2 linked regions of the Caenorhabditis elegans genome follow. The protein of the gene in region 2 purifies or fractionates together with the protein of the main gene of each other region. This does not show direct contact. Each region holds a gene or a part of one and is shown on either strand. Other genes may lie near its edges.

Evidence for each region. Proteins that work in one complex are often made in the same cells at the same time.
Region 1: the proteins of cor-1 (region 2) and gmap-2 fractionate together in Caenorhabditis elegans (co-fractionation; one large-scale study listed by BioGRID). This does not show direct contact.

Annotation. Positions count from the first base shown.
Region 1 is NC_003284.9:12,939,737-12,945,818, forward strand, and holds gmap-2 (GM2 Activator Protein family member), read right to left. Parts: upstream 3,531-6,082; 5' UTR 3,524-3,530; coding exon 3,418-3,523; intron 3,368-3,417; coding exon 3,270-3,367; intron 3,167-3,269; coding exon 3,027-3,166; intron 2,804-3,026; exon of another isoform or gene 2,722-2,803; intron 2,572-2,721; coding exon 2,472-2,571; intron 2,418-2,471; coding exon 2,301-2,417; intron 2,255-2,300; coding exon 2,178-2,254; intron 2,003-2,177; coding exon 1,816-2,002; 3' UTR 1,706-1,815; downstream 1-1,705. Other genes in the region: gmap-3 (GM2 Activator Protein family member), read right to left, coding at 651-772, 816-975; nssp-88 (Neuropeptide-Like Protein), read right to left, coding at 5,880-6,035.
Region 2 is NC_003281.10:10,246,410-10,255,946, forward strand, and holds cor-1 (Coronin-like protein cor-1), read left to right. Parts: upstream 1-2,701; 5' UTR 2,702-2,727; coding exon 2,728-2,811; intron 2,812-3,042; exon of another isoform or gene 3,043-3,063; intron 3,064-3,454; coding exon 3,455-3,562; intron 3,563-3,936; coding exon 3,937-4,189; intron 4,190-4,536; coding exon 4,537-5,159; intron 5,160-5,274; coding exon 5,275-5,338; intron 5,339-5,386; coding exon 5,387-5,504; intron 5,505-6,076; coding exon 6,077-6,305; intron 6,306-7,054; coding exon 7,055-7,261; intron 7,262-8,027; coding exon 8,028-8,165; 3' UTR 8,166-8,300; downstream 8,301-9,537. Other genes in the region: div-1 (DNA polymerase alpha subunit B), read right to left, coding at 1-38, 613-792, 972-1,300, 1,810-1,990, 2,047-2,137; R01H10.4 (uncharacterized protein), read left to right, coding at 8,514-8,668, 9,251-9,448, 9,498-9,537. UniProt on the Caenorhabditis elegans protein: Required to direct the migration of Q neuroblasts along the anterior axis of the body during larval development. This is dependent on its asymmetric expression in Q neuroblasts.

The DNA.
Region 1 (6,082 bases), on a different chromosome or scaffold from region 2:
TTTAGTGATTTTTAAATTGTACAGACTACATTTAAAGATACAGATTGTGTTGATGTTCTTAAAAACACGGTCTTAAAGGCGGACTAACGGTTCGGACGATTTTGAACGTATAAATCCGAATTGGGCTGGAATGAATAAATTTTGAAAAAAAATACACTGATTTTCGCTAAAATCTCAATTTTCGGCCACTTTTCCGTGTCGCAGCGGTCCGAAGTTGTCTTTTTTGGAATTATCCTCCTGCATCTTTTGGTAATTTTTTATCATCACATTTCATTGATTTAAACCCGATAGGTAACCAAAAATCATCAAAATTGGTTACCTGTCGGCTTTAAATGTGCCTTAATCAATGAAATTGGATGAGATAAACTACCAAAATATGCAATAAAGGGCGATGATTCCAAAAAAGTCAACTACGTCCCCCGCTGCGACACGGAAAAGTTGCCAAAAATCGAGATTTTAGCTAAAATCAGTGTATTTTTTTTTCAAAATTTTGAACCGCCATAAAAAAATTTTGAAAAATTTATCAGAAGTTTCCTTACGAAACTCGTTTATTTGAGCTCATTTTGGGTTTGAACGTTCAAAATCATCCAAACCGTTAGTCCTCCTTCAAGACACGGAATATTAACAAAACAAAAAGCACAATATTTTACCTCTAGAACTTCTACTTGGCCTCCGATAGTAAAACAGTTTGGCTTATCGGCTTGTGGTTCAAGTTTCGGGCCTCTCCTATCATTTCCAGACTCGAATTCTAACTTCTTTGTCCATTTACCACCTGAAAACCAAATAAGCTTTGGTTTAAAATCTCGTAAACCTACTTTTGCATGGTTGATGTTTGATGAGTTCAAGAGTTACACTCAGATCTTTTCCCAACTCAACGTTTTCCAACGCGTTGGAAATGGAAACGAAAAGACACGATGAAGCTAAGAAAACGACCAACATCTGCGACTGAAACCGATGCGCAAATGAAGGTGTCATGGCTTATGAAGTAAGCGACGAGGACGTGCCCTTCTTTCACACCCCTTTTCAGCTGGATTTTAGAATAGTTTACAGTGACGGTGGGGGTGAAAGGGGAATATAGATATGAATTGTACAAATGTGTAATAAAAGTCTGACAGCCATCAAAACCACTTTTCTCGTTTTTTCTTTCTTTTTCGTGTTACTTTTACCTCAATGTGAAATGATTGTCGGATGGCGTTTCGAGGTCATGAAGGTTATGAGATTCTGAAAAGATGAAGAGATTAAAAGAAAAGGAAAGGGGAAAAAAGTAAAAAAAAAGGAAAATAATGAATCAAAAGCCTTATGTCCTTCAACTAGTAGTGAGAACAAATGCAATAAAGTTTTACAGATGTGTTACATAAATATCACTTTATGATCTCTAACCAACAACATATATAGTTCCAGTTTTCCTTACTATTAGTAACTTTGCAAGATTTTTCTGTAGAATTCGTGTACTGTTGTATACACAAGAATAAAAATTCTAGAAGTAAAGGGTATACAGAATACTTTGAACAAAATCCCAGAAACATTTTGAGGCTAGCAAAATATTGAGGTTGTATTGAATAAAATGCATATTGAAGAAATGTAAAAAAACATACTCAAAAGGATACCAGACAAAACTGTTGTTTTTTACACAACGAGTCTTTGAGCACAGTATCACCATAAAGATTGACTGTTATTTATTAAATGTCAAGATCAATTTGCTTATCTAATTCATAATTTTTATTGTGTTTATTTCATAATTCACAAAAAATGAACCCGCATAAACGAAATGAATAAACATGAAGTTATCATCGTTGTTCATCCAAATATATTTTCTTATTTCTTCTTGGCTTGAATGTCGCTCAAGCTAATGGTTCCGTAAAGTTTGTGACATCCAACGAAAACTGACTGCTTTTTGATAATTTGATTGAATGGCAGATTCCAATAAGTTTGAGAGTCAACTGGCTCATCAGCGCCAAGTTTGCGAAGTTCACGGATGCGAGATTCTAGTTTTCGTTGAGAGCTGAAATTATTTCATTTTTCTATTTGTTTAAAAATTTTCTACTCGTGAAAAATAGTGTTATTTTTCATATAGCTGTAATGTATGTGACATATATGTCTCGAATATAGTGAATGGTTGTTAGATGGTATATGAAACTGTAAATCTGGCTAAAACCTATTTAATTTTCAGAACTTACACTAGAAGAGGTTTAATATCCTTGTCGAACAAATAAACGGTCACAAATAGACTAAGCTTTGGTGGACCATTTCCTTCCTGAAACACACTTTTTCTTTCAATAATTATTTTCATTTTGTCAAACCTGAGTAGTAGCAGCTAAAATGTGATCTAACGCGTCTTCTGAAATTCCCTGCCATTCCAACAATGCAGCTAATTTCGGAAGGCAGAAACGGAGTTCAACATTATCATATTCTCCTTTCTAAAAATAGTGTTATTGACTGCATCGTAAATTTTTTTTAACGATGTTGCTCACTTTTAATGGCTCACATCCTGCTGGTTTGCCGTTCACAACAAGTTGAGCTCCGAGAATTTTCGTGAGAGAGTCCAAAGAATCACATGGCCGGCAGTAGAGACTGAAACAGCAGTGTTTACGTCATTTTTTGGAAACAACAAAACAACAAATTTTCAAGTTCGAAAATTTAAATTTCGTAATCATCGAAATACAACTAAATCTTGTTGTTTGAAGTTATAACATAACGACAAATTATGATAGCGTAGTACGTGGAGAGATGGCCGAGCGGTCTAAGGCGCTGGTTTAAGGCACCAGTCCCTTCGGGGGCGTGGGTTCGAATCCCACTCTCTTCAGTTCTTTTTTTTTAATTTATTTTGCAGGTTAAACACTTATGTATGAAATTGTTATAGTTATACTTTTTGTTTTAAGAGTGACCTCTAACTTAAAACTTTTAGGTACTTCACAGCTGTTCATCTATCATTAACTGCTCAAAAGGCTTTTTTTTCATTTCCTAATGTTTTTTCTAGCTCTAGAATCTTGATGATTTCCCTAATATTTCTGTCAATAACTCATTACCATGATCCAACACCTCCACAACCAGTGTCCGGATTGGCATCCCTGCACACTTCCGGTGGTCTTTGAGTGTCACCAGTGGTCGACACGGACAAGTAGATCAACAACTCGTCGCTCACATCCTCATGAATTTTCACTTTTCCCTAAAGAAAATGAATTATTATTATTATTGTAATAACGTCAATCATCAAGCATTGTTATTGTTTTTCAAAAATCAAAATAAAACACTCTTGGGGGCTAACTCACACTAATTGCATAGCACCCTTTCTGTTCAGTTGACTTGAGTAGCGCTCCACTATCCGAGTGGCCACCCTGGAACTCGATTTTGCGGTTCCAGTGAGAACCTGTAACACGTAAAGTATTAAAAAAGTGACAACGATAGTTTAATAATTACTTTTTCTCCATGCACAACTTTGATGTCTATGAAGGTTTAAGTTCAGATACTGAGTCGATGCAAATCCAAACAAAATTGCCAGTAATATCAGGCAGTTTGTAATCATGACAAATCTGTAAGATACCGTTTATGTAAAAATTTACAGAAAGTTACAAGAACAGTATAGAAAAAGTCACAGAAGTCACTGAATTCAAATAGTTCCATCATCGAAACATCTTCATATCTAATATTTGAATCAATCTTAGTTTAGCATTTAATGCAAATGCGGCAAGAAAGTAGCTGTGAAAAAGAAAAATCGTCAAATGGGGCAAAACGATACGAATGGAAGGAACCTGTTACGTAAGCTTAGAGATCTGTCTAAGCATGAAAAAAGAGAATCGGGTATGATATGCATTGTTGAAGGACCTAGACTTTCAATCAAAACGGGACTATGGCAGAGACCACAAGGAAAAATAAACTGAAATAAGGAAGCGAAATGTTCTACGATGACTGACCAGGAGAACATTGAAGATTCCAATGGTCTTTGATTTAGTGTTCACCTCGTCGTCGTCCGCCCTAATTTTTCAACTTGTCATAAAATTTGATTCCTCTGGAATTTCACAAAAGAAAACTAGTTACGAGAACAAGAACTAATGTGGAACTTTTAATGGTGTGTACTAGGTGTGTTTGAGAAGGGAAATATTTGTGACGCTTTACAAAATCAGTGTTCATGTGACTATCTTTTCAAATCGACTTCAAAATGTTGTTTGTAAGAATGGAGACCTAAATGAATGATGGAGTTTGTGGGCAAAAAATCTCAAAAACTACAGAAACAATGTCAGAAATAACGCAACAGTTATTTGTAATTTTATAATACTTCGGTTCTCAACTATAGAATATTTGGGAAACTTAGTGGAAAAATAATACCGCCGGCATATAGAATAACTCTTAAACTACTTTGGACGAATTAATGTTTTAACAGTGGTCGCAAGAGCATTCGAGCTAATGAAGTTTGGCAAACAAAGATTTTTTTGTGGACTACAAATTATGATAGGCATAATACCATTAAGCCCAATAGTGGCTGGGTGAACCTAGGGGGTGAGGCCGGACTTGAACTTATGACCTCCAGATTTCTAGCGGTCACCACTACCGACTGAGCTATCCGCCCCCCGAAATACAATTTTGTAAAGCAAAATTAAAAAATATATCTTTTCATTTTTTCACGTATCAATCATGTTTGCGCAATTTAAAAAATGAACTTTAATGAAAAAAAATCATAAACTTATATAATCTTGCAAAAACCCCTTGATAAGAAAAATGAGTCATTGAACGATTAAAACATAAATAAAAATTTCCACTAGCTTTAACCAAAAGTCCACACTTTTTCATCTTGCGAATACACAGTTTTCACACCCGTCTTTATAATCATTTTATACACTTTCTGTAATGCTGGCAATTCGCTTGAGTGCACTTGAATAGCAAAGGTTCACGCTTGGACAGAAAAGTGTGACGAAAGATATTGTGGAAGGGCAAATGAATGGTGGGCCGACACGCAGGGCAAAAAACGAATAATACTAAGAAATTGTGGAAGACGATAAAGACTGCGAATTGGTCGGAAACGAGAATTTGCCAAGAATCCCCTCATCTCCTTTCACCAACTAACCGCGGATAATAGATAATAGGTGTGAATCATTATTATTCGATCAGGAAACGATGCGCTATGCAAAGTGTTAGCTGGTCTGCTTGCGTTACATTCAGGTATACAATTTTTGCAGGAAATCACGCACATACACATCTGAATGTCACTTTATGTACAGTGTTTTAGACAAAACCAGTTTTAATACTGCGCTTGTGATAGTTGTACCAAATTCTGAATTTGTGAATGGCCAGGTATACATACTAGAGCTTAAAACTGGACTAAATTTTATTTGATCAAAACTGATTAGCAAAATTTTATTACAAATTAAAAGGTTTATTTCACGGTTCATTTAAAGGCGTAGAAATAAATTTGGGCACACATCAACCTACTGAACATGCATTTTAATCAATGGAATAATTGTGCACTAAAATAGTTTTATGACAAAATAACCTTGACAATATTTTAGAAAACTCCAAGATGTAACAAGTGTTAAGTTTAAGGAAGTCCAATGCAAAACCTTATATAAAGGATTAGGCACGTCTTGCAATTATAAAAAAGTATCCCACTGTTGAGCATCTCTTCTGACATTTCAAAAAAAAATTTAACAAAAAAAGGTGTAACCAGACTTGAATTTCCTTTATTAGTAACTGCTCGATTATAAATTTAAATAATCGGGACGTGGTTGAAACGCTTTAATTTTTTAAGCTATACTCGGTTGACAGAAAATAGACTGTTTGTATGATGGAAACTTTGTATCACAGCTCTAACAAAACAGCTTTATTTCACCAAAAGTACAAGGACTGGAGGAAAGAAAAATTGTATCAACTATCTCATTTCTGCACCTTCAACGCCCCCAAAGCCGGCTGCTGAGTTGAAGTTTTGGCCGGATTCCTGCTTTCGCCACCCGCTCCATTTTCAGATTGTCATCAGAAAACACTTCCTCATTTTCAGTCTCATGTTGATTCAACGACTGTCTTGAAGTCTTGGCCAATATTGTGGTCTGCAATCTGATTCGATGAAATCTTGGAAACAAGAATCATAAGTGAA
Region 2 (9,537 bases):
ACTAAAATCCATTCGGATCATTGTGCCGTCTTCGTCGTCTGGAATTTTTTAGATTATAATCATTTTTTATTTTCCAAAAAAAATATTCAATTTTTTTTTGAAATCGATTCCAAAAACACTTTTTTTTCGGAAACTTTTCAATTTTTCATAAGTTCCGGGGTTTCTCTATTTTTTGAATACACATTTTTTTGACATATTTTACAGTTTTCTCGCTTTTTTCGTAAATTTTTTTCAAGTTTTTGAATTTCGATTTTTTTAAAAAGATTTTCAAAAAACTTAAAAATTTTCATTAGTTGATTTTGCCTTTTTCATTGAAATTTCGAAAATTTTAAATTTCAGCTTATAAAAATTATTTTAAAAAATTGATAAAAACAAAATTTGTGAAACTTTCGTTTTTTTTTTGTAAAAAAAATTATTTTAAAAAACTCGATATATGTTTTTTCAATTAAAAATTTCCAATTTTTGAGATTTCATAGATTTTTTTCTAACAGAAATCCTAATTAGTTTGAAGTTTAAAATCAAGAAATTCTTTTGGAAATTGAAATTTTTAACAATTTTTCATGGCTAAAATTCAATTTTTAACTAAAAAATCCCATAAAAACGAATTCTCACTAATCATAAGAGCAACAGAATGCTCTCCAAATTTCTCATTATCCTTTGTCTCATCATGAATCACTTGTCCATATGTATATACAACATCAACTGACGGTATCGATGGATTTCCCCAATCGACAATTTCTTCGAATGATTTTTGGATACGGTGAGCGATATCTGCCATTCGTTGTGCTTTTGCTGAAAATTTGTTTTTTTTGTGAAAACTTGAATATTACTCATAAGCGAAATTTGGTGCCAAAAATACGGTAACGAGTCTCGACACGAAAATTTTCGTTAAATGCAAAAAGATGTGCACTTTTAAAGAGTACTGTAATTAGAATTTTTGAGAAAAACATTTTCTAAATAAAAAATTCTACCTTCAATAACCATAGAAGATTTATCTCCACCATACAATGTACTCGGCGTTTTCGAGATAATTCTTATAGTATCATCGCTTTTTGTCGATCCTTTCAATCCTTTATCCTGATACTTCTTCCCTCGAATAGTTGTGACAACATGTGATGGATCGGCTCTTTTCAGGAATTTCTCATTAGCCGGGGAACCGGGAAATGGTGAAAAGTCGAGAAAATGTCCTTCAAGCTTTGCAATCGCTGAATTTGTGAGGTGATGTGACGGTTTTTCAATGTCATCGGGGTCGCCACTTAGGATGAATCCACTTTTTTCTGCGAGCGGAACACGGCCGCGTCTGAAATTTAATGCGGTTTTTTTCGAGACTTTACTTGAAAATTGATATATTATTAGGGCGCAGAAAAATTAAATTTTTATCAAAATGCAAGTGCGCTCTACGGCAAAATGTTGGGTCTCGTTAGGTTTTTTGAATTTACAGTTTTGCCGCCAATACCTAGCGAGACCCAACCGTTGAGGGCGGAGCGTTCTCACTGGGCCGTGAAGCGCGTTTGCGAAAAACTTTTTGAAAAAAAAAACTGAAAAAATTAATTTAAACATTTTTAGATTTCGAATTTTTTAATAACAAAACGAAAATGTCTTCAAAAATCAACAGAAAAAACACTAAATAAATTTTATTTTTACTGTTTTTTTTTTTGAGAATTTTCGTGAAAAAAATTTAAAAAAAAAACATTTAACTGTCGATTTTTCTCATTTTAAATAGATTTTTGCTATAAATTTGAGTTCCAATGCAAAATTCGATGATAAATGTAATTTTTCACTCAAAAATCTGCGATTTCCTTTACTTACGCCGGTTTTTTCACAGATCTCGGCGTGTGCACAGTTTTCTGGGCCTGAGCCTCCAGATTCTCCTCTAATTTCGCCAAAATTCCAGAGTCAACGGACTTTTGCCCAAGATTGCTCATCACCGAAACGACATCATCGACAATATCCTCACCGCTCTTCCGGAACGTTTTGCATAGTCCTTCTACTGCAAAAATTCAATATTTTGATGTTTTTTCCGATAATTATTGAATAAAAACTTACATTTTTCAATAAAATGATCTTTTGCGGGACAATTAAAGCCAAATGGCTCAAGATTATCGTTAAAATCTTCCAAATCGAACTCGTATGCCATTTTATGACGGGAAAAAGGAAGGAAATTGATGAGAAAATGGGTGAGTCGAGTTGAATCTCGCGCGCTCTCCTGTTTTGCGGTAGAGCGCGCTTGCACTGTGAAAATTCGAGCTCCGAGGCACGGAGCCCCCGCAGAAAACAAAGAGTTACTTGGGAAATAGAAAATAGGAGATAGAAAAATAAATAATTTGAACTTTGTTTAGTAAAGTTTTTAAAGTTTTATTATATTACTTCGCGCATTTCGTCACACATTTTTTGTGCACACTTGTCAAGGGTGTTCCGATTCCCTCCCCCGACGTTATCAATTGTGGATTTGCCATAGCCACCGAGACACATAGGATTTTAGCTAAACAAGAGTACGCAGGCATCTCAACGAAAGACGGGGCGATGGCGGGAGCCAACAAAGTGTAACATGGGAGAGAGCACGGGAGCCGACGAGTTGCAGGGGCTCCGGGCTGCCTGCGGGAGAGCAACAGGAGCAGCAGGAGGCACCCGCAAATCCTTGCATATTTACTCCGCTCTCACACACTCTCGCCGTTTTTCGCTTTTGACTAGAAAAGTTGCAATTCTTCAGCCTTTTTCAGATCGAAAATGGCGCAAATCGTCCGGCAGAGTAAATTCCGGCACGTGTTCTGTAAGCCCGTCAAGCATGAGAGCTGCATGTCTGACATTAGGGTAAATCACTAGTTTCATGAAACTCCTATATTATAGAGAAAAACCTCCTAGAAAACTGTGAAAAGCGGATTTTACTACGTAGCCGCAAAAAAATCGGTGGCCGAGTTTTTTCTTCTTCCATCCTTTAAATTTATCTGAAAAAAATTTTTTACAATCCCCTGGATTCGATTTTTGTGGAAATGCACATTTAAGAACGCAGAAAAATAAGAAATTTAAATGTTTTAATTTTTTTCAAAATTTCATAGAACTCCAACACTAAATCAAATACCTTTTTCAACAAAAAAAATTCTGCGAAACATATTTTTTTATTTAACTTTAAATATATGCGCAGTTAATTCAGTTATTTTCTAAACTTAGAGAGTTATTTAATGCCAAAAATTGAATTTGTCACGTGGCCGTGAAAGAGAAAACTCGGCCACCGATATTTTCTTTTGCGTTAAAAATTATTCTGAAATACCAATTCATATTCTTAGAAAAGTTTAAAAAAAGAAAACACCTTTTTTTTTCCAAAAATTTGAATAGATTTTTAAAAGTATAGAAAACTAATTAATAAATAGTTTTTTATTGTTTAAAAAATTTATATATGAAAATACAGTACCCGCTATTTAAAGGCGCCTTAAAAACTTGAATTCAACCTTTTCAGGTCACAGAAATCACTTGGGATTCATTATTCTGCGATGTCAATCCGAAATTCATCGCCTTCATCAACAGAGGGGCTGGTGGACCATTTATGGTCATTCCAGTGAATAAGGTAAGTTTTTTATACAAATAAAACACAAAAACCCCACCTGACAAGTGTTTTCAAATGTTATTTCCGGATTTTTAATTTTTTAATTATTTTTTTCCGAGCATGATGATCAGCAACTCAACAACACCTGTTACCTAAGGGGTCGGAAAACAAAAACTTTTAAAAAATTATTGAATAAACCTTTAGAAGATCAATAATTTTTAAAAAAAAAGTTAACTGAAATTTTGTGAAAAACCTACACCTATAGCTGTGTATCTGCAAAAACACCATTTTGAAATCTTCCTTGGTTACTAAAGTTTTCAATTTCTCTGGAAACTTAAATTGAAGCAGCCGACATTTCACGTTCCTGCTATCCAAAAAATGCCAAATATTTCCAGATCGGTCGCGTCGACAAGGACTATCCATTCGTGGATGCTCACAAGGCTCCGTGCCTCGAAGTCGCATGGAGCCCGTTCAACGACAATGTTATTGCATCGTGCTCCGAAGACACCACATGTAAAGTGTGGGTGATTCCGGATCGTGGGCTCAACAGAAATCTCTCAGAACCAGCTGTCGAGTTGACTGGTCATCAGAAGAGAGTTAACACCATTGCGTGGCATCCGGTCGCTAATAATGTTCTTCTTACTGCTGGTTAGTGAAAATTAAAATTATGGATACTGTAAGATTACTGATGATGTTTTGGGATTTCTTTGGGTTACTGTCGATAAGTTAGGCTATCTAGGGTTACTGTAATATTGGTGTAGACGTACTTCTCGGCAATTTTGCCGCAACTTCTCACCCAATTATAGGTACATTGTTATCAAGTTTAGCCAACTTCAGGTAGTTTTTCAGTGGAAATTTTTGAGGCTTATTAGAGACCAGCCGATCTATGTTTGGACATTTTGTTAGAGTACTATATGATTACTGTACTACCAGAATCTAGAATATCCCTACAGTAACCCAAGTAAAAATGAATTTACTGTAATTTTACTTTCCAGGCGGAGAAAACGTAATGTTTATGTGGAACGTTGGAACCGGAGAGGCACTCCTCGAAATCTCCGGGCACCCCGATCAAATCTGGAGCATCAACTTCAACTTTGACGGTAGTCAATTTGTGACTACCTGCAAGGACAAGAAGATCCGTATTCTTGACTCACACACCGGAGAGGTTGTTCACGAGGGAATGGGTCATGAGGGTGTCAAGCCGCAGCGAGCCATTTTTGTGAAAGATGGGCTCATTTTGAGCACGGGCTTCACCAAAAGATCCGAAAGATTGTATGCTCTCCGAGCCCCGGAAGATCTGTCAACCCCAATTGTCGAAGAGGAGCTGGATACCTCGAATGGAGTCGTCTTCCCGTTTTACGATGAAGATTCCGGTTTGGTGTACCTTGTTGGAAAGGGAGATTGTGCTATTCGGTACTATGAGGTTAACAACGATGCTCCGTACGTACATTATATTAATACTTACACTACAAATGAGCCGCAAAGAGCTGTTGGATTCCAGTCGAAGAGAGGAATGTCGTCGGAGGAGAATGAAATTAATCGGATTTATAAGTTGACTACGAAGGGAGTTGTGGATATTTTGCAGTTCTTTGTACCGCGCAAATCGGATCTTTTCCAGGTATGCGGAGTTTTGAAATAAGGTTTTGTTCTGAAAAGTTGTAGGTTAACAATTTTGGCTCGAAAAATTATTTTGAAAAATTTCCTACAATTTTTTAACTGAACCCATATTCCAGCACGATCTCTATCCGGATACCAGATCCACCATCCCAGCCCTTACCGCAGAAGAGTTCATGGAAGGTTGGCTGGAAATTTCTTTATTTTTTAATTGTCCAGTGTATTTTTCAGGTAAAAATGCTGCACCAAACCGTCAGCCAGTAAATGCAGCCGCTGCTGCAGCTGCCGCCAAACCAAAGGTCCAGGTAGCCAAGAAAGCCAATATTTTGAGCACTTTGGCTCCGACTGCGTGAGTTTTTGAAAAAGTGAAAACGCTTTAAATTTTTAGAGAAAATTAGGTTCGATTAAATTTGTTTTGGAAATTGTAAAGCGAATAAATTTTACTTTTAAGAATATTGAAAACAAACTCGTTTTGAAAATTAAACCAACATATTTTTTCTAAAATGTTTCTTTTTAAAAAAATTCAAGAATGTTTAATAATTCCTACTCGAACACCAAACCACCAAAAAAAAGTCTTCTATTGTGTTTTACAGTATTTAAATAAATAAAAAACTTATTTCCTGCCAAACTTGAAACTATATGGCTTAGAATCTCCAACAAAAAACTGAAATGGTGGCAAAAATCTGAAATAAATATCACATAAAAAACCTTTCAGAAAACATTTTAAAAAATATGAAAATGCCAACAAAAAACAATGCCATTAATCTAAATTTTCGGTTTTCTAAAGAATTTTGTTTTCAGAAATTAAAAATGCTGGAGAGTTGAAAATAAAAATTAATTTTTATTATAATTTCTAATTTTTTGACATAACTTTTTATTGAAAATTCTTTTTCTTTAATATCAAATTTTTTAAAATTCCAGCGCCGAATCAGTACCCACCCAATCCTACTCTGAACGTCCACCGTCATCTCAACAACCATCACCACGTCCATCTGCATCCCCGAGACCTCGTCCAGTTGTTGACGATGATATGGGAATTGTTACAATGAGAGAAGCACCGCCAAGTCGTCCAGCTTCATCAAGAGCTTCTCGAACTGAAATTCCCCCAAAGGAGGAGAGCAAGGTTGATCCAATGAAGCCGAAACAGGCGGTGAGCTTTTTTTTTTGTAAAATTTAGAACTTGAATTAATTTAAAATTTGGTTTTAAAAATTTGCTGTTCTAGCCTTGGAATTGAATCATGGCCTAAAAATTTAATTCTAGTCCACTGACGAGGAAAACTTCTTTCATGACTTTTTTAAGACGGTCAAGAATTTTTATCCCCCAATAATCCCTTTCTATCCCGCTGGAAATATTTTCAAATATGTTATCAAAAACGAGGTCGCCGGAAAATTCTATTCCACCATATTATCAAGCGTGGCTGAAAAAAACTTAGCCCGCCACTTGCAAGGGCGTGGCCTAATTTTCATTTAAAAAACCTTTGCCACGCCCGAGAATGTGGGGGCCTTTGATTTTCAGCTGATTATAACTGCTAAATCTAATAAACTTAAGTCACAAATTGTATTGAAATTCATTTTTGAAACTTCTAGGCCACCAAGTGCTCGCACGTGGCCTAGGAAATCCAAATTTCTCAATGTGAATTTTTCTAGCTCATGTGTATTCAATTTGCGGCCTAGGATTTTCAACTAACAAAAACTGCACATTCATTACTCAATTTTGATTGAAAACCTTGCCAAAATCAATTTTCAAAAGTTCTAGGCCACCAACTGGGCTCTCGTGGCCTAGGGATTTTGCCGATCGCTTCTTTTGAACTAAATTATTTAAAAAAAAACTAATGCTAATGATCCCCACTTCTCCAAAAAAGCACCATCCTATCACTTTCACCTTTTCCATTTTTCCAGGTTCAACTGAAATCCCGTGCCGCCCGTGATGAGCCCGGAGGCGGTGCTCAAACTGCCGGTCAGAGAAGAGCCGCCGCCGAGTTGGAAAGGATCAAGAGAGATCAGTCAAGAACCGCCGATGAGGACAACACTCTAGCTCCACCTCCATCTTCTTCCCGAGCTTCTGCATCGCCACGTGGCAGTGTATCAGCTGCGTCTGACGTAGGGGCACGTGTTTTTTACTGTGCTTACCAACTAAAATGTTGTTTTTCTAGAAAACAAAAACACGTTGACTTTTAACCAATTAGTAAGAAAATTAACAATTTTTGTGGGCCGTGGCCGAGTTTCCAGCAATAAGAATTGGGAACTTACAAATTAAATTTTAATTAAAACAAGCTTTGAAAAATTTCAGTTTAGTGTTTTACTTTAATTTTATTAAAAAAATGTCAAGCAACGTTTTTTTCTAATTTTCAAAAAATAACTATAAAATATGTTTTTCAAAAATAGAAATAAAATTCGAAAAACCAATTTTCCAAATTCATTAACATCAACTGAAATCTTTAAACGCCACGGCCTAGAAATCGAATTCTAGGCCATGAAAAGCCCCACCGTAGCCTAGGATTTTCCCACTACTAAAATGTACATTCTAATATGTTGTTATTGTTTTTGTGTTTTATAATAATATTCGTTTTTCTTCCAAAAATTGGACCGACATATTAAAAATTCAAATTTTTTATTTTCTAGGCCACCAGTAATACTATCGTGACCTAGATTTTGAGAATTTAATTTTTATCCAATTTTGCCCTTTTTATTTTCTAACGAAAAATTAATTATTCAAAAAGTTTTCTTATCCAAAAACGGGTGGCCTAACTTTTCTAAAGGCCCCAGAAAGCCAGGCAACTCCAAAATCCCTTTTTTGTTTCAAAATTTACAAAGGTGTTATAGTGAAAATTCTTGTATAATTTAAAAATTAATTTAAATAAAAAATTTCCAGCACGTGCCTCAGAACATGGATGAGCTTTTGGAAGATCTGATGAAAATGAAAGCTGTGCTTCGGCAACACGAACGTCGCATTCGGATGCTCGAAGAGGAGATTGCTGATCGTAATATGAGCAATGCTTATTCTTTTTGAACATGTTTAATTTTTTGAAAGAAAACTTTTTTTTCGAAAAAAAAAATTTCAAAAAAAATATCGATAATTTTTTATTTGTTTGTTTGTAAAAAGTGTGTTGTATTGTATTGCAACCTAATAAATGGTAACTTTTTCATTTCTCTTTTTTTTATTTTTCATCTATCACTTCCCGGGATTCCGGTTTCTCCCCCTCCCCACAGTGTCCCGAGGAGGCTACGCCGCCTCCACACTTTCGATTCCGACACCCGATTCAGGCGCGAATTTCCCTTATCTTTTCTTCTCGCTTATCAACTACACAAATCCACAATCATCTCAGTCTGATATAATCCTTATAAACTTTCCAAAAATATGGTCCCTCGTTTTCTAGTATTCTCAGTTTTGGCTTCACTTGCAACTGGACCACCGACTGCTGACGCTTTCTTGGCTTCGGCGTTCTCGTCGGTATCTCAGGCGGGAAAAACAGCAAATTGTCATGATTGGAGTGAATATGGACCTTGTTTCAGGTGATTTTTAGGAGAAAAACCAACATTTTTGGTGGGGAGGGTCGTGGGCTCCCATGCAGTTTTAAAAAATTCGCTTGTCCAAAGCTTTTTTTCCCGTATATTTAAGAAACTCTAAACTATCAACAAAATCTATTACATAAGGCGGCAATCATGACGTAACAGCTGAAAAATCGGTGGCCGAATTTTCTCTATGACGGTCCCGTTTTGTTTGTAAATTCCTATTTTTCAAAATTGCTACAAAATTTTTTTTTCAATTTCCAAAATCAATTTTTGAAAACTTTTCTTCTTTAAAGATATTGATATCACGTTTTTCTTATCATTTGACCTTATCATTAAAATATCACCTGAATCTTTAACATAGGTCGACGCTTACCACGGGGTCGCGGGCAGAGAAAACTCGGTCAAGCTCAAGAAATTTGAAAATCATAGCAATTAAACCGTCCATGTAAAAAATAATCAATGAAACCAAGATGTTGGAAATTGTTTTTTTTTCATTTAAAAATCTTCCCTCGTACATAAATCAACACCCACAATGTCAACACATTTTAATGGCCTAGTTTTCCACTGCTCTTCCATTTTCAGCACTGCAGACCGATCATTCTGGCGTACGCTTCCCCAGCAATGCTACCAAAACCGTTACATGTCCCTCATCACAGGAATCGGTAACCCAATCGTTCAGAAAGTGATGGACTACGCGGAGCTCTTCAACAAATCGGCGACGGCATGCGGAATGTGCAATGTTCAAGTCGCGTGTTCACCCAGATGTGATTATGTAGCTGGGTAAGGGTGACAATTGCAACACGCACAACAATAAACAATTCATATTTAGAGGCAATTCAATCGGTGTTGTCGACCGGATTTGTGATCTT